Struthio camelus: one gene and its partner. The protein of the gene in region 2 purifies or fractionates together with the protein of the main gene of each other region. This does not show direct contact. Links are inferred from orthologs where the notes say so. Each region holds a gene or a part of one and is shown on either strand. Other genes may lie near its edges.

Region 1 (7,331 bases), on a different chromosome or scaffold from region 2:
GGGACGGGAGCTGCCCCAGAGACCCCCCAGAGGGGACGGGAGCTGCCCAGGGGTCCCCTAAAATGCCCCAGGGACCCCCAGAGGGGCTGGGAGCTGCCCAGGTGTCCCCCAAAATGCCCCAGGGACCCCCAGAGGGGCTGGGAGCTGCCCCAGGGACCCCCCAGAGATGATGGGAGCTGCCCAGGAACCCCCAGAGATGACAGGAGCCACCCCAGGGATCCCCAGAATGCCCCAGGGACCCCCAGAGATGATGGGAGCTGCCCCAGGGACCCCCCAGAGATGACAGGAGCCACCCCAGGGATCCCCAAAATGCCCAAGGACCCCCCAGAGATGATGGGAGCTGCCTAGGGGTCCCCCAAAATGCCCCAGGGCCACCTAGAGGGGAATGGGTGCCACCTCAGGGACCCCCAAAATGCCCCAGGGACCCCCAACCTCTCCCAGAGACCCCCCCAAAGAGCCGTCCCTGAACCCCCAGCCTGCCTCGCTGCTCCTTCCCCCCAGCGAAGGGGCCCCGGCGTCCGGCTCCCCGCCGCTGAGCGCATCGTCTCCCATCTCTCTCCCCCGCCGCAGGTGGTGGCGGTGCCGGCGCGGGGGGCGGAGGAGCCCCCCGGCGCCCAGGCAGCACCGGGCAGCCCGCCGGGGGGATCGGGTTCGGACAGCGAGGCCTCGGCCGCCCCCCGGGACGGACCGCGCCGCCCGGGCTCCGGCGCCCACTCGCCCTCGTCGCCCATGAGCAGCGACGGCGACTCCGAGCTCGAGGACGAGGACCTCAAGGCCGAGCTGCAGCAGCTGCGGGAGAAGTAAGGAGAAGGCCGGGCAAGGGGCCCAGGCGTCCGGGGCCACCCTCCTCGGCCCCCGAGTGACGGCCCCGTCGCGTCCCCCCCGTCCTCGCCAGGCACATCCAGGAGGTGGTGACGCTGCGGGCGCAGCAGGACCGGGAACTGCAGGAGCTCTACGCCCGCCTGCGGGCCCTCAAGGACGCCCGGGGGGAGCCCGGCGAGCCGGGGCCGCCCCCCGCCTCCCCCCGCCGGCCCCGGGCCCTCAAAGGCAAAGCCCGGGGGCGCCCGCCGGCCCCCGGCCCCGACGCCGGCCCCGCGCTCGCAGGTGAGCACGCGCCCGGACGCCTGGGCCCGCCGCGGGAGGCTCGGACCGCTCCGGGGAGGGGGGATGCCTGGGCCCGCCGCGGGGGGCTCGGACCGCTCCGGGGAGGGGGGACGCCTGGGCCCGCCGCGGGGGGCTCGGACCGCTCCGGGGAGGGGGGACGGGGACGCCTGGGTTTTCGGGGGGGGGGGGGCGGTTCGGGGGTCTGGCTCAGCCCCGTAGCAGCCACCAGCGAATCCCCGCCGCGTCCCCAGAGCGCGGCGGCCCGCCGGCCCCCCGCTCCTCCTGCTCCGCCGCCAGCGACTCGCAGCCCCCCAGCGGCTCCCAGGGTCCGGCTCCGCCAGGTACCGGAGGACGTGCGCCTCCCCCCTCCCAAAAACCCCGCGGCCCCAGGACGCCTGGGCCCCTCGCCGGCAGCTTAACGGCGCCCGCGTCCCGCAGATCCCTGCCGGCCGCCGCCGGCCGCCAAGAAAGGCCTCTTCACGGACGACTTCCACCGGCTGGTGGACGAGTGGGCGCGAGAGACGGCCGGCGCGCCGGGCCTCAAGCCCAGCCTCAACCAGCTCCGGCAGAACCGGGGTCGCCCGGAGCCCGACGCCCGGGCCAGGACCGTCGAGGTGAGGGGGGCTCCCGGACGCCTGGGTCCGCTCCGGGGGGCCCTGCTTTGAGTTGCCACCTCCTTCCCCCTTCCACGCCCCGATCCTCTTCCCTCCCCGTCCCGTCTCTTGTCTGTGTCTCTCTTTCCGCCGGCGCCGCAGGGCTCGTCCTCGTGGGCGTCCACCCTCCGCGGCGTCCGGCTGCCCCGCTGCGGCCCCTACCCGCCCCGGTGGGTCCCGACGCCTCCGCCCGGCCCCCCGGGTCCGGCCCTGCGCTGCCCCGTCCCGCCGGCGCCCAAGTGAGGGAGACGACGATGCCGGACGCCGTCGCCCCCGGACAGCCGCCGCCGCCGGCCCCCGCGCCGTCTCCGCCGAGCCAGGAGCTGCCCGGTTCGTGCTAGAACCGCCTCGTCTCGCCCCCGAACCGCCCCGTTTCACCCATAGACCACCCCCTTTCACGCCAAAACCGCCCCATTTCACCCCCGAACCAGCCTGTTTCACCCCAGAACCGCCCCGTTTCACCCCTAAACCACCTCATTTCACCCCAAAACTGCCCCTTTTCACCCCAAAACCAGCCTGTTTCACCCCTAAACTGCCCCCTTTCACCCCAGAACAGCCTCGTTTCAACCCCAAACTGCCCTGTTTCCCCCCCAAACCGCCCAATTTCACCCCAAAACTGCCCCCTTTCACCCCAGAACCAGCCTCTTTCACCCCTAAACTGCCCCCTTTCACCCTCGAACTGCCTTGTTTTACCCCAAAACTGCCCTGTTTCACCCCAAAACCACCCCCTTTCGCCCCAGAACTGCCCTGTTTCACCCCAAAACAACCCCGTTTCACCCCCAAACTGCCTTGTTTCACCCCAAACCACTCCCTTTCACCCCAGAACTGCCCTGTTTCACCCCAAAACTGCCCTGTTTCACTCCCAAAGCAGCCTCGTTTCACCCCAAAGCAGCCTCGTTTCACCCCCAAAATGCCCTGTTTCACCCCCAAACCACCTCATTTCAGCCCAGAACTGCCCCATTTCACCCTGGAACTGCCCAGTCTCACCCCAAAACCGCCCCATTTCATCCCCAAAACCCCTCATTTCACCCCAAAAACCTGTTCCACCCCAGAACCACCTCGTTTCACCCCCAAACCTCCCCCTTTCACCCCAAAACTGCCTCGGTTGACCCCGAGCTGCCTCAGCTGAGCCAAAACTGCCTCGTTTCACCCTAAAGCCTGTTTCATCCTAAAACCACGTTTCACCCCGAAACCTCCCCATGTGCCCAAGGCCCCCCCGTTTTGCCCCAAACTGCCTCGTTTCACCCCGAAACCCCCTTGTTTGACCCAAACGCCCACGTTTCCCCCGCCCCGTTTTCCTCTTGGTTGCCCCTAACGGCCTCGGTTCAGCCCCGCTCGTCCGACCCCAAAGTGGCCCGGTTTTGCCCCAAAACACCTCATTTTCCCCCAAAACTGCCGGTTCCCCCCCCCCACATCCCAAACCGCCTCATTCGGTTTCCAAACCACCCCAGTGGAGCTGAAACCCCTCGGTCACCTCACGAACGTCCTCGTTCTGCCCCGAAACCCGCCGTTCCACCCCAAAATGCCCCCAAACCGCCCCGTTTCCCCCCAAAAGGCCCTCGTTCACCCGACAACGGTGCGTGGGCCTCCCCCCAGCGCCGCGGTTGCCTCTCTTTGGCCCCCAAACCCCCTTGTTTCGTCCCAAAACTCCCAGTTGCGCCCCCCCTTCCCCCTCCCCACGCGATTTGGGGCGTAAACGTGGGGTTTTGGTCCATCTACCTCATTTCAGTCCCTTCCCCCCCTCCATGGTCTCCCCCCCCCCAAAAGGCCAGCGAGGTTTCGGGTCTGCTCCGGGGGCGGGGGCTGGCGCGGCCCCGCGTTTATTTTTTTTTTTGGACGGATTGTTACAAAGGAGTAAAAACGGCAAAAAAAAACACCAAAAAAAGGGAAAATAATAAAAACCCACGTGGAGAAGCGGGTGTTTGTGAGGCGGTGCGTCACTTCCAATATGGCCGCGGCGCGGCGTCCGCGCCACTCCCAAGATGGCGGCCGTCTGGACGGCAGCCGCCGCGGGACATGCCGGGTGTGTTGGGGGGGGGAAGAGAGAGAGAGAGAGAGCGAGAGCGAGAGAGAGAGAGAGAGAGAGAGAGAGAGCGCGAGCGTGTCCCGCCACTCCCAGCATGGCGGCCGCTGCCTGCGTGGGCGCTGCGCTTGCGCGACCTCCCCATGATGGCGGCGCGGCCGGGACGCTCGGCTCCGCCCCCGCCTCCGCCACCTTCCGGTGACCTCAACATGGCGGCGCGGCCCCGCCCCCTCCTTCCCGTTCCGCGTTTGAATAAACTTTATTGGGAGGCCGGAGCCGAGCAGCAGCGGCGGCGGCGGCGGCGGCACCGGCGTCGGGGCCTGGGGGGCCTTTAAGGGGGTCGCGGACCTCGGCGGGGGGGGTCGAGGCCCTATAGAGCCGAGGGGAGCGTCCGGGGGGGGCCTATAGGCCCGGGGGGAGGGGTCCCGGGCCCATATAGACCCGGAGTGGGGCGTCCCGGGGCCCTATAGAGCCGGCGGGGGGGGCCTATAGGGCCAGAGGTGGCCTATAGAGCTGGGGGGGGCTATAGAGGTGGGTGGAGGGGGGCAGGGCCGCGTTGACCCGGGGAGACCCTATAGAGGGGTGTTATAGGGAGGTTAAGGGGGAGGTAGAGCCGTTATAGAAGGGGGGGGCCCTATAGGGAGCTGAATTCCCCATAGGGGGAGGGGGGGGTCTATAGGGCAAAGGGAGCGGCGGTGAGGCCGGGTCCGCGCGGAGAGGAGCCGAAACCATCCCGTAAAGTTCCCCCCCCCCCCATAGCAAAAAGCAGGAGAGATCTATAGGGGCTACGAGCAGCCCTTTTCTATAGGGGAAGCCCCGCTGGTGCCCCCCCAGCACGGAGGGGGGGGTAGGGGGGGCTGCCCCTATACGACGCCGCAGGGCTGATGCCCTGGGGCGGGGAGAGGGGGTCCCGCCGGGGAGGAGGGCGCCTATAGCGGGGGAGGGGGTGCCTATAGCGGGAGGGGGGCACCTATAGCGGGGGGGAGGGGCGGGTGGGCGCCATGGCCTCGGTGCCCGTGTACTGCCTGTGCCGGCTGCCCTACGACGTGACCCGCTTCATGATCGAGTGCGACGTGTGCCAGGACTGGTTCCACGGCAGGTGGGGGCCGGCGGGGCCGGGGGGGGGGGCCGGGGTCGGGGAGGCGGCGGGGGCCGAGCCGTCCCCTATACACGCGCGCCTACAGCTGCGTGGGAGTGGAGGAGGAGGCGGCGGCCGAGATCGACCTCTACCACTGCCCCAAGTGCCAGGAGCTGCACGGCCCCTCCGTCAGTGAGTATCCGCTCGGGACGGTGTGGTTTTTTGGGGGGGGGGGACACGCGGTTCGCGGCGTCTCCTCAACGCCGGCATCTCCCCCCTCCCCGACTCCGCAGTGAAGCGGCGCCGCGGCCTCGCCAAGCAGCCGGACGCCGAGCCCGGCCGCGCCGTCCGCACCGGCAGCGCCCAGTTCGTCCGGGAGCTGCGAGGCCGGACTTTCCCCAGGTGAGAGGGGTGACGGGGCCGCTCTGCCCCGGCGTCGGGGCGGTTTTGGTTTTATACCCGCTTGACGGGGCGCTCGGGGCGGTGGGCGCCGAGCCCCCCGCCCCGAGCGAAGCGCGGCTTCGCCGGGACGTCCGAACCGGCCGCGCGCGGGCGCCGTCGGCGTCGCTCCCCTCGCCCCGGGGTTGGGGGGGGGGGCGTAGGGCGCGGAGCCGGGCGTTACGGGGGCCGTTCCAGCGCCGACGAGGTGCTGCTGAAGCCCAGCGGGGCCCAGCTGACGGTGGAGTACCTGGAGGAGAACAGCTTCAGCGTCCCCATCCTGGTGCTGCGCAAGGAGGGGCTGGGCATGACCCTGCCGCCCCCCACCTTCACCGCCCGCGACATCGAGCACTACGTGGGTGAGGAGCCCGGCCGGCGGCGGCGGTGGGGCTGCGGGGCAGGCTCAGGGCGCGTGGGAGCCCGTAGCGGCGCCTATGTCGCGTGTGGGGCAGCCCAGGGGCGCGTAGGGGCGTCTGTGGGGCCCGTGGGGCGGGCTAGGGGTGTATAGGAGCATCTGTGGGGTAGGCAGGGGGTGCTTAGGGTGTCTGTGGGGCCCGTGGGGCAGCCTGGGGGTGCGTAGGGTGTGTATGGGGCAGGCAGAGGGTGCATAGGGTGTCTATGGGGCCCGTGGGGCAGCCTGGGGGTACAGAAGGATGTTTTTGGGGCAGCTTGGGGGTGTGTAGGGTGCGTATGGGGCAGTCTGGGGGTGCATAGGGTGTGTATGGGGCAGGCAGAGGGCGCATAGAGTGTGTATGGGGCCTGTGGGGCAGCCTGGGGGTGCATAGGGTGTCTATGGGGCCCGTGGGGCAGCCTGGGGGTACAGAGGGATGTCTTTGGGGCAGCTTGGGGGTGCGTATGGGGCCTGTGGGGCAGCCTGGGGGTACAGAGGGACGTCTGTGGGGCAGGCAGGAGGTGTATAGGTTGTGTATGGGGCCCGTGGGGCAGGCTGGAAGTGTGTAGGGGCATCTATGGGGCAGACAGGGGGTGCCCAGGGTGTCTATGGGGCCTGTGAGGCAGACTAGGGGTGCATAGGGGTATTTCTGGGGCAGACTAGGGGTGCATAGAGGTATCTCTGGGACAGGTTGGGGGTGCCTAGGGCCCGTATGGGGCCCATGGGGCAGCCAGAGGGTGCATAGGGCATCTATGGGGCCCATGGGGCAGCCTGGGGGTACACAGGGACGTCTCTGGGGCAGGCAGGGGGTGCCTAGGGTACGTATGGGGCCCGTGGGGCAGGCTGGGAGGGGTCTGGGGCAGGTTGGGGGGCCGGCGTGGGGGCGCGTGTCTGCCCCCCAGCCGTCCACCCTGCCCGCGCCAGGCCCGGACAAGGAGATCGACGTGATCGACGTGGCGCGCCAGGCCGACTGCCGCATGCGGCTGGGCGACTTCGTGGCCTACTTCTGCGGCGCCCGGCGCGACCGCGTCCTCAACGTCATCAGCCTCGAGTTCTCCGACACCCGGTACGGCGCCCCGGCCCCGCGTCGCGTCCAACCCGCCGCGGCACGGGGTCCCCCGGCCCTGACGCCCTCGCGGCCCGCAGGCTGTCCAACCTGGTGGAGACGCCGCGCATCGTGCGCAAGCTCTCGTGGGTGGAGAACCTGTGGCCGGGCGAGTCGGTGTTCGAGCGGCCCAGCGTGCAGAAGTACTGCCTCATGGGCGCCCGCGACAGCTACACCGACTTCCACATCGACTTCGGCGGCACCTCCGTGTGGTACCACGTGCTGCGGGTGCGCCCCGGGGCGGGGGGTGTCGGAGGCTCCTGGGGTCTACGGGACGGCCGCGCGCTCCTGCCGACGCCGCCTCTCGCGTCCCGCAGGGCGAAAAGGTTTTCTACCTGGCCCGGCCCACCCCGGCCAACCTGGCCCTCTTCGAGGCCTGGAGCAGCTCCAGCAACCAGAGCGAGATGTTCTTCGGCGACCAGGTGGATCGGTGCTACCGCTGCCCCCTGCGTCAGGGCCAGACCCTCTTCATCCCCACTGGTACGATCCCGCGACATCCTCTGGGTTCTCTCCGATCTTCTCCAGATCCCCCCAGGTCC
Region 2 (6,924 bases):
ATATATCATATGGTAAAACTTCCTTACTGTTTCATTGTCTTTGACTTCATTTTATATTCTTTTAAATGAAACATTACTCATTTGCTTGTTGTTTTTGGTGGTTTTTTGATGCCCTACTAGACATAAATGAAGAATCTGTGAGGTATACATTAAAGCTCATCCACCCCAAATTAGAGTATCAGCAGCTGTTGGCCAAGAAGGTTCACTTAATAGATGCTTTGAAAGTAAGTATTCTCCTCTGAAGGATTTTTGTGTGGGTTATGTTGGCAGATATCAAGCTGTAAGGCTCAAGTCAGCATGTGTTATAATGTTGTCTAATCTTTTTCTGTTCCCAATACATGTGTAGTAGTCGTCTAGGAGACAAACATTTTAAAGTAAAACTCCTATTTGTAGTATATAACAGTGAAAAACATAGAATTACTGATTGTTGTTGAGGATGTTTAAATCAGATAGTAGACATGGGCAGCTGATTCCTTCTTGCGCTGGCCTCCACCAAAGGACTAGTTGTCTGAACTCTTTGGTTAGTGGAAAAACTTTACTACCGGTGACCACACAATATATTGTAAATTTTTATTTTATTATCAGTAAAAGTATTTTACTTAAGCTTGATTAAACAAACCTGAGAGATAACAAAATAATAATTTATTCTTACTGCGTGATATGTTTCTGCATAAATAATGATGTTGCAGCTCTTGGAGAAAGTGTTTTGTGCTTGCTTTTAGGCTTTTTTTGTTAGCAAACCTTAAACTTTGTGTCACTGGTATCTAAATAATTTATTTATTAAGAGGCAGTGAAATAATCTGGCGACTGATAAAAGCTATTATTCCTGGAGACTCAAATGCATAATTACCTTCAGTCTAGAAAAAAACCAGTCTTTCTGTATGGGATAAAAGGATCTATGTTGATTTGATCTAATAGTAGACTGAGGCGTTTAGAAGATGTCTTTAAAACCTTTTGCTGTTAGGAGTTCAGCAGTACTTTTGGGATTTACTTTTACCTTTAGACTTTTAATGTGTGCTACACTTCCTAGGAATTTACTTATTCTGTAAAAGAATGTACTTACTCTGTAAATATACTTATTCTGTTAAAGGTGTTTATTCTGTAAAAGCGTGGTGAAGGCTTTGGGCCTTCGTTAGGCTTGATTCTGTAGAGGCTGAGCTGCAGAGTGATCCTGTTCTGGCAGCACTCGGAGCTCGAAGATGTAACACGTAGCATTGTGAGAATCTAATGTATGAAGTGACAAGTAACATCTGGCATTTCATTAGAAGACCTAGAAAATAAGGCACTTCTAAACTAGCAAGAGTTATGGTGAAGGGCATTGTCCCTGAGGTATTTCCTCCTGTCAGATCCAAGCTGATTTTTTTTTTTTGTTGCTTTTATGTTTGTTTAGTACGTACCAGTCTCTAATTTTCACAATTTAAAATGTCTTTGAGGAATTACAGGTTCATGAAGGAAATGTGGACTTCCTGCTACCTAAGTACCGTAGCATTTTAGAAGAGGCAGATCAGCTGCTTGAGGAATACAAGAAACAACCTGCACATCTCGAGAGACTTTATGGTGTGTTGATTAACCCAACTTTTTTTTCTAAATGCAAATTAATGTTCAGAGAACACATTGGACGTGACTGAAATAGTTAGGAAGTCAGTATCTGTAGCATTGAAATAATATGATAAGGGGGTACTTTTAAATAGCTTCGGGAGACCTAGAGGTGTCTAGCCATATATGTCCATCTGCTCATACAGCTAGGCTGGATGGCTACACAGTATTTTTGATCATAACCTTCCAAAGTTAAAGGTAAGGTAGTAGAACTTAGCACACACCAAAACTGGTTCTGCTACTACAAATTTAAATAACTCTCCAAAGGTCCTCAAGAATTATTTGCCTGAGAATTTCTAAAATTGTCTTACTATCATAAGCTTAGTGCTGCAAATGCAAATACAGGATTATTAGCAAGTTACTTTTGTATTTTCTATTACGCAGCTTTTCATATTCGGATGATCCTTGTCTTTATGCATATGATGCAGAAATGTATTCTAATTCAGGATGGCGTTTAAGAATATATTTAAGTTGAATGAGTGATTAAGTTCTGCCACAGGAAAAAGACTTTTACAAGTTAACAGAAAAGCAGAAAAATACACATGGGATGGGAAGGGAGAATCTTTGATGTAATTAAGTGAAGGAAATTCTGTTAACTTTTCTGGTGCTCCCCATATAGCCTTTAGCTCAAGTAATCTCTGCCAGGTGCTAATTTGATAATGTATCCATTATAAACCCAGTTCTCCTTTCATACCCTTTGACAGTTCCTTTCTCCGGAGTGTTTCAAGTATGGGTAATTCTAAGGCAGAAATACCTGCTTTGGAATGAAGCTGGAATCTGGGCTAACAGGAGAGTGCTTTGGGTTTATTCAAAAGAAAATCATTGTTTAAAACATGAAGTTTAAAAACGGTCTCGTGTCTAAAACCAAAATCGACTAGAATAGTCTATACATAGCAAAGAGTTAATAGTAGAGATATCTCATGGTGAAAACAAGGCAAATAAAAATCTTGGAACTTTATTTTGTAGGTATGATCACAGATCTCTTCATAGATAAATTTAAATTTAAAGGCACCAATGTGAAAACGAAAGTTCCTCTTCTTCTGGAAATTCTGGATGGCTGTGATCAAGATGGACTAATTGCTTTTTTTGAGGCTGCAGCCTGAATTGGAAGCAACAAGGAAAAGGCGGAGTGATTTATTTTTTTTTATTTTTATTTTTTCAACCAAGGCAGTCCACTATGGAGTCGAATACATTATTTTTTGAGAAATGTTTTTATTATTCCTTTTACGCTTTCATTTTATTCTTACTTATTACCATATTGAATACTGGTCCATTTTAGTTCATATAAACTGTTGTACGTGTTAAATGCACACGTCATTTATATATACACAAAATGTTCTTCATAGCTAAGGAAAACTAGAGAACCAGATACTGAATAGCCTTTTTGCAGGAGTACGTTTTCAGTATTGTTAGAGACTATAAATAGGAATATTCTCCATTTGGAAGAATGTATGAGGAAATTTGTTTTCATGGACTTAGGACAGTTAGGAGAAAATCAGCTGTTTGATGTGTAGCTATATTATTTGTTAGCGGTACTGAGCAAGTGCTTCAATGCTATCAGCACATTGTATGTAACTGACACACATGAAAGTGGGGAGAATTATCTCTGAATTTTAGATTTACACGATTACTTTAAAAACTGCATGTGAACTCTTGTTTAGAATGGATTGCATTAAATTTCCTCCATGCGTCTCATTTGCCTCAATTCTTCATTTTGTAACTCATTCCAAGTTACTTTCCAGTACTCTTTACTGAAAAATCAGTGTGCTCTTTAGCATCTGACTTTTTAATTTAAACTTAAAAGACATTAAACAGCCTCTGGATAGAGGTGTGTGTGTGTGTGTGTTCTTATTTCCTGAGCAACGAAAATAAAGAAGAATAAGTCATGACATTAAGTAGGAAGGCAAAGATTGAAAAACAGTTCAAGCACCAGTGCTGGGCTGCTTCCCTGGCGCGGGACCCGGGGGGGGGCGGGACTCCCTGCCCGCCGCCCACTGCGCATGCTCGCTTCCTCCCGCTCCCCAAGCCACGCCCCCTCTCGCCGCAGGCCACGCCTGCGCTCCGCAGCGCGCCTCTCCCCGTTCTCCCTTGGCCCCTGCCGCTGCCCGTAGGCCGCGTGACGCGCCGCCGCCCGCGCGCGCTCCTCATTGGCCGGTTCAATAGTCGCGGGCTACTTGAACGGCGAGAGCGGCGCCGCCGCGCGACACTCGGCCGCCCCGGGAGCCGGCACGCGTCGCGCCCGTGCCCTGCCCTGCCCTCCCCTCCCTCCGCCGGCAGCGGGGCCGCCCGGCCCCGGCCCCGGCCCGGCGGCGCGATGATGTTCGCGGAGCAGGAGAACCAGGAGAACGTCCCGCCCGGCGGTGGCGGCAAAGCAGCGCCGCCGCCGCCGCCCTCCTCCTCCGCCGCCGCCGCCCGCGTGGCGCTGGGGCTGCTGCGGGGCCCCCCGGCGCGGGCCGGGCCCCCGCCGCAGGCAAGTGCGGGGCGGGCGGGGGCGCGCGCGCGGGGCGGCGGCGGGGGCGCGCGGCGGCGGGGGGGCGGGGCGATGCGCGCGGGCCGGGGGCGCCGGCCGTGGCCATCTTGGCGCGGCGGGAGCTGTCAGGGCGGCTGTCAGCGGGGGCCGGGCCGGGCCGGGCGGTGCTGACGGGCCGCCCCCTCGCAGGCGGCGCGGAGCGGTGGTGGCGAGGGCCATGCAGCGGCGGCGGCACCGGGGCGGCCGGGCGGCGGCGGCCAGCCGGCCTTCGCCATCCATGTGGACGAGCCCGACGGGGAGCAGCAGCGGCGGCGGCGACGCGGGGCGGCGGCGGCCGAGAAGGAGGAGGAGGCGGCGGCGGCGGCGGCGCTGGGGCTGCGGGCGGCCGTGAGCGGCCTGGGGGAGCGGCGGCCGTTGGCGCCGCTGGGCAGCAGCCTGGAGCTGAGCTGCGGTGAGTGCCGGGCGCGTCGCGGCGGGGCGGCCGGGCGCTGCCCCGAGGCCGCCGGCGGGCCGCGGCCGCCCGTGCCGCTGCTCACGCGGCCGTTGTGCCCCGCCGCAGATTCGCCCAGCGTTATGGACATCTCGATAACCTCCGACGCGGGAGAGAGGAGCCCCAACGTCAACAACGTGCCGGACTACGTCGGCGATATCCACACGTACCTCAGGGAAATGGAGGTGAGAAGCTGCGAGCTGCCGCGGTTCGAGCAGGGCTAAGGGCGGGAGAAAGCCCGGGCCGAGAAACGTACCGGAGCGCTACTTAACTGCTACGGTGGCCAAAGCAGAAGGCTGCTAGAAAGGGAGAGGGAGAAGATGGGTGCTGTGTCCGCTGCTGCGAACGCAGGACTGCTCTTGCGTCCTGTGACTGTGCTACGCGCTGCGGCCTAAGCGGGAAAGCAAGACTACAGAAAAAGTGCTTGCTGATCCTACGTTTGCCGTTGCTGGCTGCTTCTGCCCTGCTTAAAACCCTTTAACTACGATAAATAGAGTTGAAATGCCTGCTTCCCTGCAAGCACTTAATGCAAACTAAACCTTGTATGTTATCAAAACTTACAGGTGAAATGCAAGCCTAAAATGGGTTACATGAAGAAGCAACCTGATATCACAAACAACATGCGGGCTATTCTTGTGGACTGGCTGGTGGAAGTTGGAGAAGAATACAAATTACAGAATGAAACCCTGCACTTAGCTGTAAATTACATTGATCGGTTTCTTTCTTCAATGTCTGTTCTAAGAGGAAAACTGCAGCTTGTGGGTACTGCAGCTATGTTGCTTGCATCGTAAGTGAAACTGCTTAATTTAAAATTCCACCTGCTGGTCTCATACAGATGGAAATCTTCTCTTGTGGCTATCATGTTTTGTTGTCTGTAGGCAGACTGACTAGGGATGGTTTCACACTAGGTAAGAAGCAGCAGTTATCCCCCTAAGAGCTTGGTAGCCTGTGTCAAACTCTGCAAGCGAGGTTCTAGGCTGTGTTTGTGGATTGGCCTAATGTGAGGATTCGTTATTTCTAGTTGCGGCAGCAAAAGACTTTTCAAACGTATTTGGGGGAAAGAACGTGAAAAGGAAATTTTGCTCGCAACTGTTAGTCTCCTAACACTTTCAGGAACTTCAGTAACTCTTGAGTCCCAAAGTACTTAATGGTAAAATTGCTGAGCGTAGCTCTCCATAACTTCAGAGTCTGCAGATCCAAGACCTAGTGAACTGGATGCAGCAAACTTATTGAGTTACAGTATACAGCTACTTGTCTTTCACTAACTGTTGCTGGTTACTTGGTTCTCTGCTACGCAATTACTTGCTTATAACTGTTCTTTATGGCAGGAAGTTTGAAGAAATCTACCCTCCTGAAGTGGCAGAGTTTGTCTACATCACAGATGACACCTATACCAAGAAGCAAGTTCTAAGGATGGAGCACTTAATTTTGAAGGTTTTGTCATTTGACTTGGCAGCTCCAACGATCAACCAATTCCTTACCCAGTATTTCCTACATGAGCAGACAAGTGCTAAAGTTGAGAGCTTATCAATGGTAAGTAAGAATTAATAGTTGAATCTGCGTAACTGGAAAGTTATCTTATTAAGGCACCTTACAAGCTCTGTTTTCTATTCCCAATAGAAAAGGAAAAATGGTAAAGGATACTTCAGTCCAGGCTTTTCTGTCTCCCAGTCTTTCTTAAATCAGTAACGTGACTCCTGAGGAGACTTCTGGAGAGCGCGCCTGCTGTGCCATGTGCTCCTCCAGTGGTGGGGCTCTGCCATTGGAAACTAACACTTTTGTCTGCTACTTAGTAGTGGAGCTACTCTGGCACCTGACCTGGCTCAAGCATGAATGCTTACTCAAAGCAGGCTGAGATTGATAAATTCAGGGTCTTTTTCCGTGCTGGATGTTTTCCCTGATGCTTTCCCACCTAAAATTAACACTCTCCTCCCCAAAAAGGGACATCGTTTCTTAAGTCTCCATGTTAAAATTTCCTGTGGAAACTGAATAGGGATCAATGCATAAACGTATTGGTCACCGAAAACTAACGTCTTGAATAGCTAGTATCTTGTCTGGGTGGACTTGTCCACTCAGTGGTTCAGTTTGGCTAGAAAGGACACTCACTTGTTTTTTGGGGAACAAGCATCGAGCTTTAAATCCAGAAGCTATTTTTTCGAAGCAAAGCAGAGCAAACATCTCGGGCTTATCTGGATAAAGTTAAGCTTTCTTAAACGCAAAGATGCCAGGTGTGGCAGGTGCCAGAAACGCTAAATGGAAGCAGTTGTCTCGCTAGGCGAAGGTCAGACGTGACTGGACTCTTCCCTCTAGATCTTACTTACCTCTAAAGATAAAAACGTGGTATTGAAACAGTTTGCATGGGAACAGT

What was found. The genes of interacting proteins can lie anywhere in the genome.
Region 1: the proteins of CCNA2 (region 2) and PHF8 purify together in Homo sapiens (affinity purification with mass spectrometry; 3 studies listed by BioGRID and IntAct, counting the BioPlex papers as one, with this or other methods). This does not show direct contact. The link is inferred for Struthio camelus from reciprocal best matches to the Homo sapiens genes CCNA2 and PHF8.

Annotation. Positions count from the first base shown.
Region 1 is NC_090979.1:567,395-574,725, reverse strand, and holds the start of PHF8 (histone lysine demethylase PHF8), read left to right. Parts: upstream 1-4,331; 5' UTR 4,332-4,781; coding exon 4,782-4,879; intron 4,880-4,964; coding exon 4,965-5,050; intron 5,051-5,151; coding exon 5,152-5,260; intron 5,261-5,494; coding exon 5,495-5,655; intron 5,656-6,611; coding exon 6,612-6,753; intron 6,754-6,833; coding exon 6,834-7,020; intron 7,021-7,109; coding exon 7,110-7,272; intron 7,273-7,331. Other genes in the region: serine/threonine-protein kinase WNK3, read left to right, coding at 571-800, 896-1,104, 1,356-1,445, 1,543-1,718, 1,860-2,000. UniProt on the Homo sapiens protein: Histone lysine demethylase with selectivity for the di- and monomethyl states that plays a key role cell cycle progression, rDNA transcription and brain development.
Region 2 is NC_090945.1:19,619,245-19,626,168, forward strand, and holds the start of CCNA2 (cyclin-A2), read left to right. Parts: upstream 1-3,910; coding exon 3,911-4,066; intron 4,067-4,255; coding exon 4,256-4,517; intron 4,518-4,625; coding exon 4,626-4,741; intron 4,742-5,119; coding exon 5,120-5,343; intron 5,344-5,884; coding exon 5,885-6,089; intron 6,090-6,924. Other genes in the region: BBS7 (Bardet-Biedl syndrome 7 protein), read left to right, coding at 1-12, 121-224, 1,434-1,557, 2,563-2,699. UniProt on the Homo sapiens protein: Cyclin which controls both the G1/S and the G2/M transition phases of the cell cycle. Functions through the formation of specific serine/threonine protein kinase holoenzyme complexes with the cyclin-dependent protein kinases CDK1 or CDK2.